Caenorhabditis elegans: one gene and its partner. The protein of the gene in region 2 interacts with the protein of the main gene of each other region in a pairwise test. Each region holds a gene or a part of one and is shown on either strand. Other genes may lie near its edges.

Region 1 (7,757 bases), on a different chromosome or scaffold from region 2:
CACGTTTGTTTGATTAGAGAGTTTATTCTAATGCTCACCGCACCTTTTTTTACACGAACACTTTTTTATAAGGCAAACAGTTTGGCCGGAAAGAGAATGAGAGACACATAGACGAAAAGTGAACGGAAGAGCGGAAATCAAGAAGTTTCAGGTCTGGTACAGAGGGTGGGGGTATGGGAAAGTAGTATAAAAGAGAAGAACAGAGCTTCATTATCATCCGATTTTCTCGGTTCGAATCATTACTAAAATGCGCTTTACTTCACTTGCCATTGCCTTCCTTGCATGTGCCCTTGCGGTATCTGGAAGTGCGATCCGTGAAAAGAGACAGTGTGGATGTGCTCAGCCACAGCAGAGCCAATGCTCGTGCCAACAAGTTCAACAGACTCAGTCATGCTCGTGCCAATCTGCTCCAGTTCAACAACAATCCCCATCCTGCTCATGCGCTCAGCCACAACAAACTCAACAAGTTCAGGTACCTTTTATGCATTTATTTCAAACACTACTAAATTAATGATTTTAGGTTCAATCTACTCAATGCGCCCCAGCTTGCCAACAGAGCTGCCAACAGCAATGCCAGGCTTCTCCATCCGTGTCCCAGTGCCAGCCACAATGTCAGCAACAGTGCCAGGCTCAATGCACTCCAATGTACAACCCACCAACCACTACTACCACCACCCAAGCTCCAGTTGTCCAATACCAACAGTGCCAACCAGTATGCCAACAGCAATGTCAATCTACCTGTGTTCAACAACAACAACCAGCAGCTCAATGTCAGCCACAATGCCAACAACAATGCAATGTTGCCTGTGATTCCCCATCCACTACCACCCAGGCACCACAAGTGATCCAAATCCAACTCGAGATCCAACAAGCTCAAGCTCAATGCCAACCACAGTGCCAGCAACAATGCCAATCTTCATGTGTCCAGCAACAGCAACAGTCCAACCAGTGCGAGCCAGCTTGCAACACTCAATGCTCTGATATCTGCCAACAAACTGCTCAGGCTACCCAACAAGTCTACAACCAGAACATGAACCAGAACACCAACACCCAAATGTACAACCCATACAATACCAACACCAGCCAGAACGCTAACTGCGCTCCAGCTTGCCAACCAGCCTGTGACAACTCCTGCACTTCCCAGCAGACTCAACCAATGTACCAACAATACGACACCACCACTGAAGCTCCAGCTCAAGTCATCCAGATTGTTCTCCAGACTTCTGTTGCTCAATCATCCCAATGTGCTCCACAATGCGAACAGTCCTGCCAACAGCAATGTGTTCAACAACAACAGCCAGCTGCCCAGTGCCAAACTGCCTGCCAATCATCATGCTCTAACTCCTGCCAAACTGCTCAACCAGCAACTACTGCCTGCCAACAGAGCCCACAACAGAGCTCCTGCTCCTGCCAAGCTAACTACTCTCCATGCGGAAATGGACAATGCTGCCGCAGAAAGTAATTTAATTGTTCCTGATTCTTGATTTTTGTATATACCGAAACAATTCAGTTTCAATAAACGCATAACTTTTTAAAAAGTGTCTTCCAGAATCTCAAAGTTTTCACTGTATAATGAAAAGTGGTTCACAAACTAGCATAATCATTACTATCGGAAACAGTGAAATATTATTAAAGTGAATGCCTGAAATAATAATGTAACGAGTATTGCATATCAAGATACCAGATTGTCTAAAAAAGTAAAACTAATTTTAATGAAAATGGAAAACATTTTTGATATATCGCTATAAAGTTATCACTCGCAAGTATTATCAGAAAAAGTATGTAGCAATTTTAATTGTAAGCTAAAATAAATTTTAACTTCTAAGGTCGTATTACATTTTTCGTAATGAAGGAACAGTGTGGTAGTGAAACACGTAAAGTCGTGAACCTAAACGATTTGAAACTAAATTGAATTTAAAATACTTCATCAGTGAGCTTTTTTTTTTTAATCTCTAGTTTCTAAACTCCTGCTGGCGAGCTAGAAAATTCTTGTAAATCTAACTTTTCTATAAATATTTCTTTGATGAGAGCATTTTTCAATGAGTACAGAAATAGATAGAACATACGTAAACCTGTATCAATGCCAACTGAACAAATGTTTATGAGATTTTCTAAAAATGTAGTCGAAGAAGAGACGCTAACAGTTTTTAAATAAACATGTTGTGTTTCGAAAACAACTGGTTTATTCTGGTTATTTTTATGTCACGTCAGATTTTTAAAGCGAGAAGGTTTAAAAAGTTATGCGTTTATTGAAACTGAATTGTTTCGGTATATACAAAAATCAAGAATCAGGAACAATTAAATTACTTTCTGCGGCAGCATTGTCCATTTCCGCATGGAGAGTAGTTAGCTTGGCAAGAGCAGGAGCTCTGTTGTGGGCTCTGCTGGCAGGCAGTAGTTGCTGGTTGAGCAGCTTGGCATGAGTTAGAGCATGATGATTGGCAGGCAGTTTGGCACTGGGCAGCTGGCTGTTGTTGCTGAACACATTGCTGTTGGCAGGATTGTTCGCATTGTGGGGCACATTGGGATGATTGAGCAACAGAAGTCTGGAGAACAATCTGGATGACTTGAGCTGGAGCTTCAGTGGTGGTGTCGTATGGTTGGTACATTGGCTGAGTCTGCTGGGAAGTGCAGGAGTTGTCGCAGGCTGGTTGGCAAGCTGGAGCGCAGTTAGCGTTCTGGTTGGTGTTGGTATTGTATGGGTTGTACATTTGAGTGTTGGTGTTCTGGTTCATGTTCTGGTTGTAGACTTGTTGGGTAGCCTGAGCAGTTTGTTGGCAGATATCAGAGCATTGAGTGTTGCAAGCTGGCTCGCACTGGTTGGATTGTTGCTGTTGCTGGACACATGAAGATTGGCATTGTTGCTGGCACTGTGGTTGGCATTGAGCTTGAGCTTGTTGGATCTCGAGTTGGATTTGGATCACTTGTGGGGCCTGGGTGGTAGTGGATGGGGAATCACAGGCAACATTGCATTGTTGTTGGCATTGTGGCTGACATTGAGCTGCTGGTTGTTGTTGTTGAACACAGGTAGATTGACATTGCTGTTGGCATACTGGTTGGCACTGTTGGTATTGGACAACTGGAGCTTGGGTGGTGGTAGTAGTGGTTGGTGGGTTGTACATTGGAGTGCATTGAGCCTGGCACTGTTGCTGACATTGTGGCTGGCACTGGGACACTGATGGAGAAGCCTGGCATTGCTGTTGGCAGCTCTGTTGGCAAGCTGGGGCGCATTGAGTAGATTGAACCTAAAATTTTTGATTTAATGGTTTGCGAATATGTTAATGAACTGTACCTGAACTTGTTGAGTTTGTTGTGGCTGAGCGCATGAGCAGGATGGGGATTGTTGTTGAACTGGAGCAGATTGGCACGAGCATGACTGAGTCTGTTGAACTTGTTGGCACGAGCATTGGCTCTGCTGTGGCTGAGCACATCCACACTGTCTCTTTTCACGGATTGCACTTCCAGATACCACAAGGGCACATGCAAGGAACGCAATAGAAAGTGAAGTAAAGCGCATTTTAATAATGATTCGAACCGAGGAAATCGGATGGTAATGAAGCTCTGTTCTTCTCTTTTATATGACTTTTCCAGCTGCTCAGTAAACCGGTTCCAGTTCCTAATTTCCTGATCCTCTTCTAAATGTGACTCTCTCTTGCGGCCGCGCGCAAAAGCGTTCGCCTAAAGCTTCAAGTAAGCTATCGAGTCACTAAAAAACTCCGAGCTAATACAGGAATAAATTGTAGTATTGCGCAAGCAAAGAAGAGAGGTCTTGTTTGAGTTTGCTCTATGACCTTGTTCACGCAAGGTTCGCACATGAGAACTAGTTTTCAAGGGCAAACAGCGATAAGCAATCTATTTTTATAAGATTTATCTTTTAATTTTGTTTAAATTTTTGAACCGTTCTAGCTAATCGAAAATCAAAAGAATCAATGAACCACATAGACACGTAGACATGTAAGAACGACAAATTTCGACTCTAATTTAATTTACATGATTTGTCATGCATGACATAAGTTGGTTTTCAGACCCGAACATTTTTTCGATTTGATTGTATAGAGCTACAGTGGTTGCTGCCTCGCTTCTGGGATTTCCTAGCTTCCGGGATCTCTAGAGTTTGAAATTTTAGTTTTGAACTCACTTTGAAACACATTTCAAAGTTTAAAAAATTAGGTATAAAAACATTTAGTTAATAGCCTAACGGATTTTTTAAAAATAAATTGTATCTATGCGAAATGTGAAAGAAACTATGTTTGTATTGTAGCTGAACGCCACCGGCCCAGGTGACTCGAGCCTGACAAGAAAGTTTCAATTTTTCCAGATATTTCTCTCTCATTCATAACATTAACTTTTTCATTTCCTGTTGGCTGCAAATTACAATCATGATTTCCGTGACAACAATCTCTGCAATTATGCTTTTGGTAAGATTTTATTGTAGCTCAAACAAATTGATGTACCTTCAGTTTTCCCTCTGTGGATTTACAATAAATTGGGCAATTGTGATTATAATGATAAAAGTTACAAAGTTGCAAAAACCATTTGCAATTTTAACTGTTGGTCTAGCGATTGCTGATGGAACATTTTCCGCGCTCTACTTATTCTATGCAACTCCAATGGTATTTTTGTAAGTTGAACAAGTTTTTTTTTTCATTCAGCGAGGCCAACAGTTAAAATAAAAATTCCATTCAGCGAGAGCGATATTTTATCAAATTATTCGAGTGTTTGTGGATATGTTCTTATGATTTGCTACAGTGCTTCAACAACTTTTCATTTCATGATATCCCTTAACAGAATTCTAGCAGTGTATAAACCAATGCTTTATCGTATGATGTTTAGTGTTTTGTTCACGTTTTGTATAGTAATGGGAATTTATTCCTACGCACTTACAATCATAACACTATTTTTTCAAATTTGTAGGTTAGTTTAATGTCAACTAAAATTGACGGGAGAGTTGCAGTGGGATGTCAAAATTTTTATGACCAAGAAACAAGAGCATTTCGTTATTCTGGAGGAGACGTTTGTCGTTTTTATGCAACTTATTTAGACTTTTATCTTGTTTTTTCATTGACTATTTCCAGTACTATTTTGGACTTTTTAGCTATCGGAAAAGTGTTAAAAATTAGCTCAAAAACAGAAAAGCACTCAAAAGAACTTAGCTTGTTGAAACAGGTAATATTGATCTTTATAGATTGTTTTAAATAATAATTTCAGTCCATAAGCCAAACTCTATTTGTTCTTGCAATCGTTTGTAGTTTTACTTGGGGTCCGCGTTTTATTCCAGACATTGATTACACCTTTATTTTCTCTTCTATTCTCTGGTCTTCAGTGCATATGTTTGATGGGTAATTGTAAATATTCTAAATACTCAAAAAGTTCTAATTTAGGTTTTTCACATTGATTTTCAATCCAGAAATCCGAAGGAGCTGTTCCAGAAGCGGCCAGCCACTGGCATTCAACGTTGTTAGATCGAAATCGGCTGCATTGGATTAAGAATAGAGGTCTTTGTTAGTGGAATTGTAATGCTCAAGCCAATTGTCATTGTCTAGGGTTTTAGGAACTGAGTTATTTTTATATCATGAATTTTGGTTCAGAACATGTGCTTGTAAAGAAAAAATATGTACATTTTAAATTTATGATTTGCATGATCAAAGTCACATTTGTTCCCATCTTCTAAGAACAAGCTGCAAGAAAATCATCAAAGTGGAAAAAAATCAAAAAAAATCGTAAATATGGTACTTTGTGCGTGCTCCAATGGTTTTGTTCCTTTTCCTTAGATAAATTGTACATCAATGTATAGTTTTATAAGATAACCAAAAATGAATAGAAAATGCAAAAATCAAAGCAAAAAATCTGGTAATTGCGCCACTTATTTGCCAGCTAGTTTATTAAATTTTAATTATATGGAGCACAAAAAGGATTTCTGTTTTTATCACCACGGAAGTTTAATATTTTCATATTAGACTTCCAATTTAAATTTGAGTATGAATGAACTCCCAGTTTGAATTTCCCCCAAAATGAAAACAGTAAGGCCAATCAGTGATTCGTTCCTCCCACTCTTCTGGAGCCAATCAGATAAACTGTGTCAAGTTGATTGGTTCAAAAATGAGTGGAAGGAAATTAATTGGAAGGGAATTCAAACTTGCATCCTTCCCAAATCTATAGTATATATAAAACAGTATTTTTGAAACATCCATTTTTAATTCTTTCTGAATTGTTTCTTGTGTGTGAAACCAAACAAAAAACTAGAGAATATTTAAACTGTGTGGGGAGACGATTACACGTAAACAAGAAAGGGTGGTAGTTAATTGTTCTGTTAGGGGTATAATAAACGATGAGTAATACGTACATTAGGAATTTTCTCTGAACAACATGAATTTTATTAAATTTTTTTTAACAGCTTAAATAATATGTCTACGAAAAAATCTCCAATACAAACCTTAACCGATTGAAAAATCAAAACATCTCTACCTCACTCTGTCATGCACTTCTATTTAATCAACTCAGAGCTCGGTTCATTGCAGGTACTCGTTAAATGGCAGGTGTGGCACTGACTCCACCCAATAAATAGAAGTGGATTGAGGTCAAAATATCTATTGGTCTAGGATACTTGTTTTCTGTTTCGAAATATGATCTCGGAAAAAATAGTTGCTGCAATTATGATTGTGGTGAGCTGAAATTCGAACTTTTTTTCTCCAACTTAGCAATATTTTTTTCAGTTTTCTTCATGCGGGTTTTTCACAAATTGGGCGATCGTAATATTAATGATAAAGGTTACAAAATTGCAAAAACCATTTGCTATTTTAACTGTTGGTTTGGCAATTGCCGATGGAGTATTTTCAACTTTATACTTGTTTTACGCAACTCCTATGGTGTTTTTGTAAGTTTTTGAATAAAACAATATGTCGGGCAAAATTGAATAGGTATTTTTTTTGGTTTTTCCAAAAAAATTTAATTTGAAAATGTATACATATAATCCAGTTAAATTGCCTTTTGGGCAATCTTACAGAAATGTCTCGAATTTTATAGAAGTTCCGTATATCTACATAGTAGTGCGGTAGTTTCTCAAAGAAAATTAAGTTTCCCGCCAAAATTATTTGAAAAATTGAAAAAATCCCGCTGAAATGTTTTTTGCTACTCGACGACACTCCAAAAACCCCATATCGATATTCCTTCAAAAAACAAAAACTCATTTTTTTCAAAACTACAGTAACCCTACAGTACTCCAGTCTACAGTATTCCTACACATTTTCAGCCAAAACGAATTCCTGGACTATTGGTCCCATCTATGTGGGTACTTTTTGATGATATGCTATGATGCTTCGACATATTTTCATTTTATAATATCATTAAACAGATTTCTAGCAGTATTTACTCCAGTTCTTTATCATAAAATGTTCAGTATAACATTTACCAAACTAATTGTTATGGCTACCTACTTACTTTCGTTTATACTTATCACTTTGTTCTTTCAAATTTGTAAGTTTTCATATTATCAATTAAAAAAACCAAGTCATCTTTTCAGTGGGCTGCCAGAATTACTACAACGCAGAATACCGAGCATTTCAATATTCCGGTGGGGCAATTTGTAGTTTGTATGGAACTTATGGGGATTTTTATCAAGTTTTCACTCTAACCATTACCAGCACACTTTTGGATTTCACTGCAATTGGGAAAGTGGTGAAAATGCGGTCGAAATCCGACAAAAACTCGAAAGAGTTGAGTTTATTAAAGCAGGTATTCACAAAAACTGTTTTCATAAA
Region 2 (7,443 bases):
ATTGGGAATGCATTAAATTTCAGAGAAAACGAACTGTTTGAAATATTGTTAATTGTTTGAAACTAATGCTGCCAAATCAAGAAAATTGACAACGTTATTGGTACAGTTCATTTTTTCATTTCAGAATAAGCAACAAAAGGTGTTCATATGAATGTACTGTAGGTTAGTAAAACACTATGTTAGGTTACTCTTTGATGCAAAAAGGAATAGTTAAAAAGTTCTCAGAAGCTTTCGAATAAATTATAATAAATACGTTGCAGAAGTAACTGGGAAAGGAATGATGATCGTGATTTAAAAAAGATGGAAGAGCTTCAAAACAGGGGCTTAGAAAATGCAGTTCTATAATAATAAATTGGGAAGAGCTCAAAAATTCACAAAAAATGGTTAATGAATACGCATACAATGTCACCGCTTGTTGACCAGCACACTGAGCGGGTAAATTTTCGAGTAAGAGATCGACGATATTTCAGCGGATGGAGCACGGTAGGGAAAGTAGAATAGTTATTTAAAAAGTTGATATAAAAACGTAGTGTACAAAATGAGAAGGGAAATGGGGAAAGGGGGTGAGATGAGATGATATTCAATGACGCGTGCGGTGATGCAGACGGTATGGATCGAATTTTGGATGAGCATTTGGCTCAGGAGCTTTGCCAAGAATTATTGTCTGAAAAATGTATAACAATTAAACGACGAGGAAAACGGAATCTCACTTGGATAACCCATTCGGAAGTGACTCTACTTGCTCCAATAGTATCTGCATACTCCATGACTTCGTCACGGAAAGTTCCATCAACTAAAACAACGTCAAATTTGAGACCTGTTTCGTCAAGAGTTTCCCAGTCTCCGTCGACTACATCAGCACCGAGAAGCTCAAGAATAGGTTTCCAAATCTCGATGAAAGTTCCTCCGGGTCCAGTTTGTGTTACTTCACGAGCTGAGTGAGTTGAGTGTACATAAATTGTTGTTCCTTTCAAAAGCTCTGATGGATTTTTGGGCCTTAAATGTTTTCGATGATCAGAATTTTCAGAATCGTTATAAAAATCAAAAATCTAACGGAATTGAAATCATTCATCATGAAAGTTCACTTACGCTGGCATATCCTGAGACTCGTCAAAAATTGAAGCACCTGCAGGAAGAACATAGTCCGTATAGTCGACACATTTCCCCTGTTCACCACATGCTTGTAACCATGTATTGTTAACACAAGGAACACCACGAGCTAAAGCTGCCAAGTACTTGTGAGTACGATAGTACGTATCAGAAATCAGCAATGGTTCGTAGTTGGAGTAACGCTCTTGGAAGCTCTTAAAATAAAATGATTAGAATGTTATTTGTAAGACGTTATCTTACATTAAGCTGCTCCGTGACGATCCCACCATTCTGAGTAATGAAGTTCATCAGATTCTTCTTTTTGAACATTGAAGGAACACTCGCAGAATTTGAACGATTGGCCGAAGTTAGCATGAAGACCTTTCCGGTGAAAATGTTCTTTCCAATAGCTTCCTCGTTCATTGGCAAAAGCTTTTCTTCTTCTTCAGCCGGACTTGCTGATCCTCCTCTAGAGGAAACTAGATCAACTCCCTTCTTCTTACGACCTTTTGGTTTTGCTTGATTAGAAACTGTAGTTGGCTTACGAGCACGAGTAGCCTCCGATATTGTAGTAATATTAGACGTAACAATAGCCGTAGCACTTTGATCTTTGCTTTTAACATAGTCTCGCCATTCTGAATGATCGAAAGAAACATCATACCAATCAACAACCTTCACTTCGTCAGTTGGTTCCCCATCTTCATCCATGATCGATATGGTTAATTTTCCTTTTTTCCATTCCGCAGCACTAATATCGTTAGGACCAGAATCCAATCGAACATCGGATTCGTTGTAGACTGCAGTTTTGCCAGGGGATAAAGCGCGAAGTGGAATGATTCCAGAATTTGGAACATCTTTAATGACGTTATCAACCGTGAATTGTACCTTGTATCTTCCGAGACCATCACGCTCCGAAAGAACGACAGCGGGATAAAACATCTTCTGAAACACAGCGTAGACTCGAGCTCCAGGAGCATGAGGTTCATTATCGTCTTGTGGATGATCAACTAGTAGTTGATCCTCATCAGATAGATTTTTAAGAGGAATAACTGGTTCTTTTTTCGCCGGAGGTGTTTTGATGTCAGAAGCTTCACTTTTTCTCTTTCTTCCACGATTTGACGAAGCTGGGGTAGCAGTTGCAGGCGCATCTTCCATTTCAATATCATTTTCGTGATGTTCTTCCTCCTTTTTAGCTCTTGATCTTCTTCCCGAAGTTCCTACAGACGATACTCTATGCTTCATCTTATCTTTACCAGGAGTCATATCAGCAAGAGAACGCCGATTCTTAGCAGCAGGAGAAGCTGAAAGCATAGATATTCTTAATTTCAAGAAACTACAAAACAACTTACATTGTAACTCAGCAATTCTAGACTCTGCCGCCTTCTCTGTCATAGAATACTTTGACTCTGAATTACCCAATTTGGCATACTTGACAGCACCAAAATTGTGCACTTCCATCTGAAAACAAGCAAAATTACAGATAAACATTAATTTTTAATTCTCACGTGAATATTCTTCAAAGGTTCTGGATGATGCTCCATTTCAGTATCAAGATCATATGGATCATATTCTGCACTTTTCTTGCTCGATGAAGGCGCACTTTTAGCTGCTCCACGACCTTTCTTTTGTGGTAGAGTTTCTTCAATAGTCTCATCAGCTTCTTCGATAGGGTCTTCTGTGATAGAACCTTGCTTCTTTCTTCCACGAACTGTCGTTCGTTTATTTGTCACAGCCGGCGTCACCGGAGCAGATTTTGCAGGAGGCTTAGCCCTTGTAGATCTACGAGATGATGTTGGAGTTTCGACTTTCTCAGCTTCTACACTTTCCATAGTTTCAGCATCAGCATTAGAACGCCTTCCTCGCGGAGTTCGGGTGGACTTCGCTTGGTTTGTATCGTGAGTTTTTGTAGGGTCTTCGGTTTCTTTTTCTTGCAAGTTTTCCTCATTTGCTTGCGACTTTCTTCCTCTTCCTCTTGTGGACCGCGGTGTTGGCACTGCAGACGAAGTTGCTGAAGAAGATGCAGCTGAACGTCTTCCACGCCCCTGTTTCGGAGTTTCTTCTTCAGTTGGATGTTCCGTGTTTTCAACTTCCTCGGTGACAGATGTGTCTTCTGTTGCAACAGAGCGTCTTGATCTTCCCTTGCGCGGTGATGTTTCTTCAACGCCAGAGTCGCCAACAACATTCTCCGTAGGATCAATTACTTCATCTCTGTCTCCACCCCTGGAAGATCGACCACGCCTGGGGGTGCTGTTACTAACAATGGGCGTTTTCGTTTCATCTGCATTCACTTCCGATTTTTGCCCACGACCACCACGGCGTGGAGTGTTTGACGAAGGAGTAGACGAAACAGTTGCTGAAACTCTTTTAGCGCGACGAGTGCTGCGGCTAGAAGATTGAGATTCTTGGTTCTCTTCATTTGCTTCTGATTCTCCATCTGGCGATTTTGAATCGAGACCAATTTTTTGAGAATCATCAACACTGTCTTGTGAAATCTCACCAACGCCTGGTTCAGACGCCTTGTCATCATTAACATTCTCAATAGGTTCACCACTATCTGCTTGCTCTTTCACTGGACTTTCTACTTCAACCTCATTTTCGGGTTCCTCTGTATCGTCCTCATTCTCTGGTTCTTCTTTCTCGTCGCTCACACTACCTCCTTTTGGAGAATCATCTTCATGCAGATCGTCGTCATCTGACGTTGACACTGCCTTCTTCAATATTAATTGATTAAAATTAGGTTTTTCGAATTATCAACAAACCTTAGTTTTCTTTTTTGGAGCTTCGTCTTCGTCGTCTTCTTGCACATCATCAATATCTTCTTCATCTTCATCTCCAACCACCTTTTCTTCATTTTCTTCAGGTTTCTCGGTATCATTTGAAACAGAAATCGATTCAGCAATGTCTAATTTATCGTCACTAGTATCCATCGAGATAATTTTTTTCTCGAAAGTTTCTCCCTCTCCTTCTTCAATTGGTGATTCAGACTTTTCCGAGTCGTTCATGCTTTCTCCAGATTTAGCATCCTTACCGGCTGAACATTGTGGCTCATCTTCTGCCTTTTCTTTATCAAGTGCAGTAACATCGGCAGCTACATCTGGCTCGTCTTCCGCTTCTATGATAACTGATGACTTGGTAATGACACTCGAATCGACTATGTGCCCATCAGGAGTTGAATCTCTAGCTGGGGTCTAAGTAAGCAAATTTTAGATTAATACAAACACACTGGACTTACAGAAATCACAGCAGAGTTCCCAAAAAGACTCCTACTTTTATCCAGAACTGAAGTTGTTGTGGGGAGGCTGAAATAGTGGGATAAATATGTATGGATACTCGAAAAGCAGGTAACCTTGTCTGTGTGACGGTGGAGTCGTCTTCTTCGAATTCTGAAAACAGAAAATAAAAGGAAAACTTCACGTAAGTTAAGTTTAATTTTTAGAGTCGATATTCACTTCGAGTGACCACCTTAATTTCAATAAGGTTGAATTTTATATGCTTGACCCGCAAAAATATTAATTAACCTTTCACATTCTTATTATATCGAAAAAATTACCCATAGTGTTCGAAGACGATGCCATTTTCCTCCAAGCAGTTCAGTTCTTCAAGTCTATGCTGTAACATATGTGTTTAATTTTGCCATTTTAAGCGTAAAAGTGTCTGCGAAACAAAAAGTTACGACGTCAAAAAAAATCGTTTGAAAATTCAATTCAAACGCCCGCCCCCGCTGTTCAAAAAATGTACTGAGTGTCGCCCGGTGCGTTGCGGTCGCGTGCCGAGTCGCTACGCAGCCAATTGGTATGCAGGTTATGTCTTACGATCAGCGGTGAAGAATTTTTTCGTTTCTTTTCCTACAGGTTTTTTCAATTTTTTGACGCGATTTTCACGGTTTTTCGAGTTTCTATGTATTGATTGGGAGGAAATATGTTACGTTTACAGTTTTCTTAAATAATATCCACTTTCTGAAGCGCTTGTTGTTAAGAATAGTTTTTTTGGCAGTGGGTTTTCTTTCCGTCTTCTAATATACGATTTTTTCAAAGCTATACTTTTCCTTTTCAGGTAAAATGACGAGAGCGACCTCCATCAAGGACGTCGACCAGCACGAGGCTACCAAGTCCATCGCTCACTTCTTGAAGAAGAGTGGAAAGGTTAAGGTTCCAGAGTGGTCCGATCTTGTTAAGCTCGGAGTCAACAAGGAGCTTGCCCCAGTCGATCCAGATTGGTTCTACACCCGTGCTGCCAGTCTTGCTCGTCACTTGTATTTCCGCCCCGCCGGTAACTTTTTATTGACAAAATCATTACTTATTTTTCTATTTAGGAATCGGAGCCTTCAAGAAGGTCTACGGAGGAAACAAGAGACGTGGTGTTGCACCAAACCATTTCCAAACCTCAGCTGGAAACTGCCTCAGAAAGGCTGTTCAGCAACTCGAGAAGATCAAGTGGGTTGAGAAGCACCCAGACGGCAAAGGAAGAATTCTCTCCAAGCAGGTGAGTATTCTATTTTATTATCTAAAAATATAAAATTCGAACTTTTTTGTAAAAATAAATTATTAAAAATTATTCATAAATATATGCGCTGAAAATTAAACATGCAAAATTAGATGTTTATATTAAAATTAAATTTCTGCATGTTTTCTTTTTTGAATTTTCTCGAAATTTTCAACATCGTACTAAAACTAAATTTTGCAGGGACGCAAGGATCTTGACAGAATCGCCACCAGCCTCAGATCCTCTGGACAACAAGCCTAAACACTCGTTGTTTGTGTTATAAATGTTGTTGTTATAAAAAACTTCATGATACATCTCCATTAACAAGAAAGTAAGATGATGGCGCAAATTATGAATCAGAAAAAAAAGTTATTAAAGAAAAACTTCGCCCGAAACGTTTGAATATATACACCTGTATAGTTCTCACTTTTTTGAATAGTGAAATAATCAGTCTACAAAATATTATACGTCTTTAGTGGACCTTAGAACAAAGCTACAGAACTTGAATACAATCATTAATATATCTACTTGCTCTTCCGAAATCAAATTTGAAACATTATTAGCAGAAACTAACTTCCTATTCTGATACCCAAATTATTTCGCTAAACATCGCGAAAGGCATTTCTGATAAAGAAAATAAAATACAGGGTTAAGCTATTTATGGTTTCACAAACTTGCGATCAATTGGAAGTCGGAAAAATTTTAAAGATTAGTTATCATACAACGATAGATACAATTTTTAAATGAATGTTGGTGGACATTTATTTAGATGTAGAAAAGCGGAATCTAGCAAGTTCGCATGCGAACTTCTCGTTGTGAATTGCCGTGAACAAAATGTTCTTCTTATCTTGGGAAATCTGGAGCAATGCACACGCACCTCCGTGCCAAACAGTCCTACCCGGAGTAGATGATACCTCGCCATTCGATGAAGTTCCTGATACACCCGAACCAGATCGGTCTAAAAATTCAACTTTTAACTAGAAATAATTATCTAGAAATAAACCTCGAGATTGAGTCTCATCACTTGAGTTTTGTTTACTGTGCTGCCCTGAGGACATGTTTTTGGATTCGGCGTTCGTCGGAGTAACTCCTGCTTCTTCTATATTTGATTCCGATGGAGGAGTCGAAGGTCCGGAACCAGGAAGAGAGCTTCCATACCCAGACGAAAGAGATTCTTTTTGAAAACCACGTGTCGATTGCAGGCCATCGGGACGCAACACTTTCCACTCACGATATAGAACGTACGAAATATAGTTGTTCTTTTCAACAGCCTTCGTAAGCGGAGACGATCTGAATTAAGAATAATCAAAACTGCCACAAAGAACTGATTCCTCACAACTCAATATCGCTTGTCTTCGAATATTGGAGACCATTCAAAATCGGTTCGCTCTTTGATAACGGGCAATCGAGATTGATAGTGACACTCCGCAGACGGTGACCCATCTGTCCGTTTGACCACATTTGGAGAAATTCGAGAAGTTCCGAATTCGGAAGAATATAACGGTTTAAGTTGACCTCAGCCAACGAGCTCATTCTTGCCAAATCGGTAAGAGGGTTCTCAATAGTATTCTCAAAGATGATTCGTTTCGCCCAGAAGATCTGAAAATACGATGTTTTATTTAAATCGGCATAATATTTTAAAAATATCTTACCGGATAATTGCAATACGAAGTCTTCTCTACCCAATTCGGCATCTCACGTTCTTCGAATGGAATCACGTACGGCATAACTTCATGGTGCATGACTGCATTTCTTCTACTACGATACTCCTTTTCCTCAACAAAGTCTCCAGTATAGTTTCGCGCAATTGTTACTTCTGGAATAGTTCGCATTGTGTTAATTCTGTTCAGCCACCAATGTGTTGATCCAGGC

What was found.
Region 1: the proteins of rps-19 (region 2) and abu-15 interact in a two-hybrid assay, tested with the Caenorhabditis elegans proteins (one large-scale study listed by BioGRID).

Annotation. Positions count from the first base shown.
Region 1 is NC_003283.11:5,154,383-5,162,139, reverse strand, and holds abu-15 (Activated in Blocked Unfolded protein response), read right to left. Parts: upstream 3,539-7,757; 5' UTR 3,518-3,538; coding exon 3,293-3,517; intron 3,246-3,292; coding exon 2,304-3,245; 3' UTR 2,233-2,303; downstream 1-2,232. Other genes in the region: abu-6 (Activated in Blocked Unfolded protein response), read left to right, coding at 248-472, 521-1,462; srx-39 (G-protein coupled receptors family 1 profile domain-containing protein), read left to right, coding at 4,380-4,418, 4,461-4,621, 4,687-4,910, 4,955-5,166, 5,209-5,339, 5,382-5,487; srx-38 (G-protein coupled receptors family 1 profile domain-containing protein), read left to right, coding at 6,624-6,662, 6,714-6,874, 7,250-7,473, 7,520-7,731.
Region 2 is NC_003279.8:9,623,496-9,630,938, reverse strand, and holds rps-19 (Small ribosomal subunit protein eS19), read left to right. Parts: upstream 1-5,142; 5' UTR 5,143-5,147; coding exon 5,148-5,358; intron 5,359-5,401; coding exon 5,402-5,571; intron 5,572-5,772; coding exon 5,773-5,832; 3' UTR 5,833-5,871; downstream 5,872-7,443. Other genes in the region: Protein hsr-9, read right to left, coding at 581-664, 711-996, 1,090-1,304, 1,351-2,390, 2,439-2,547, 2,595-3,800, 3,849-4,277, 4,322-4,388 and 2 more; T05F1.2 (F-box associated domain-containing protein), read right to left, coding at 6,333-6,529, 6,575-6,861, 6,908-7,170, 7,224-7,443.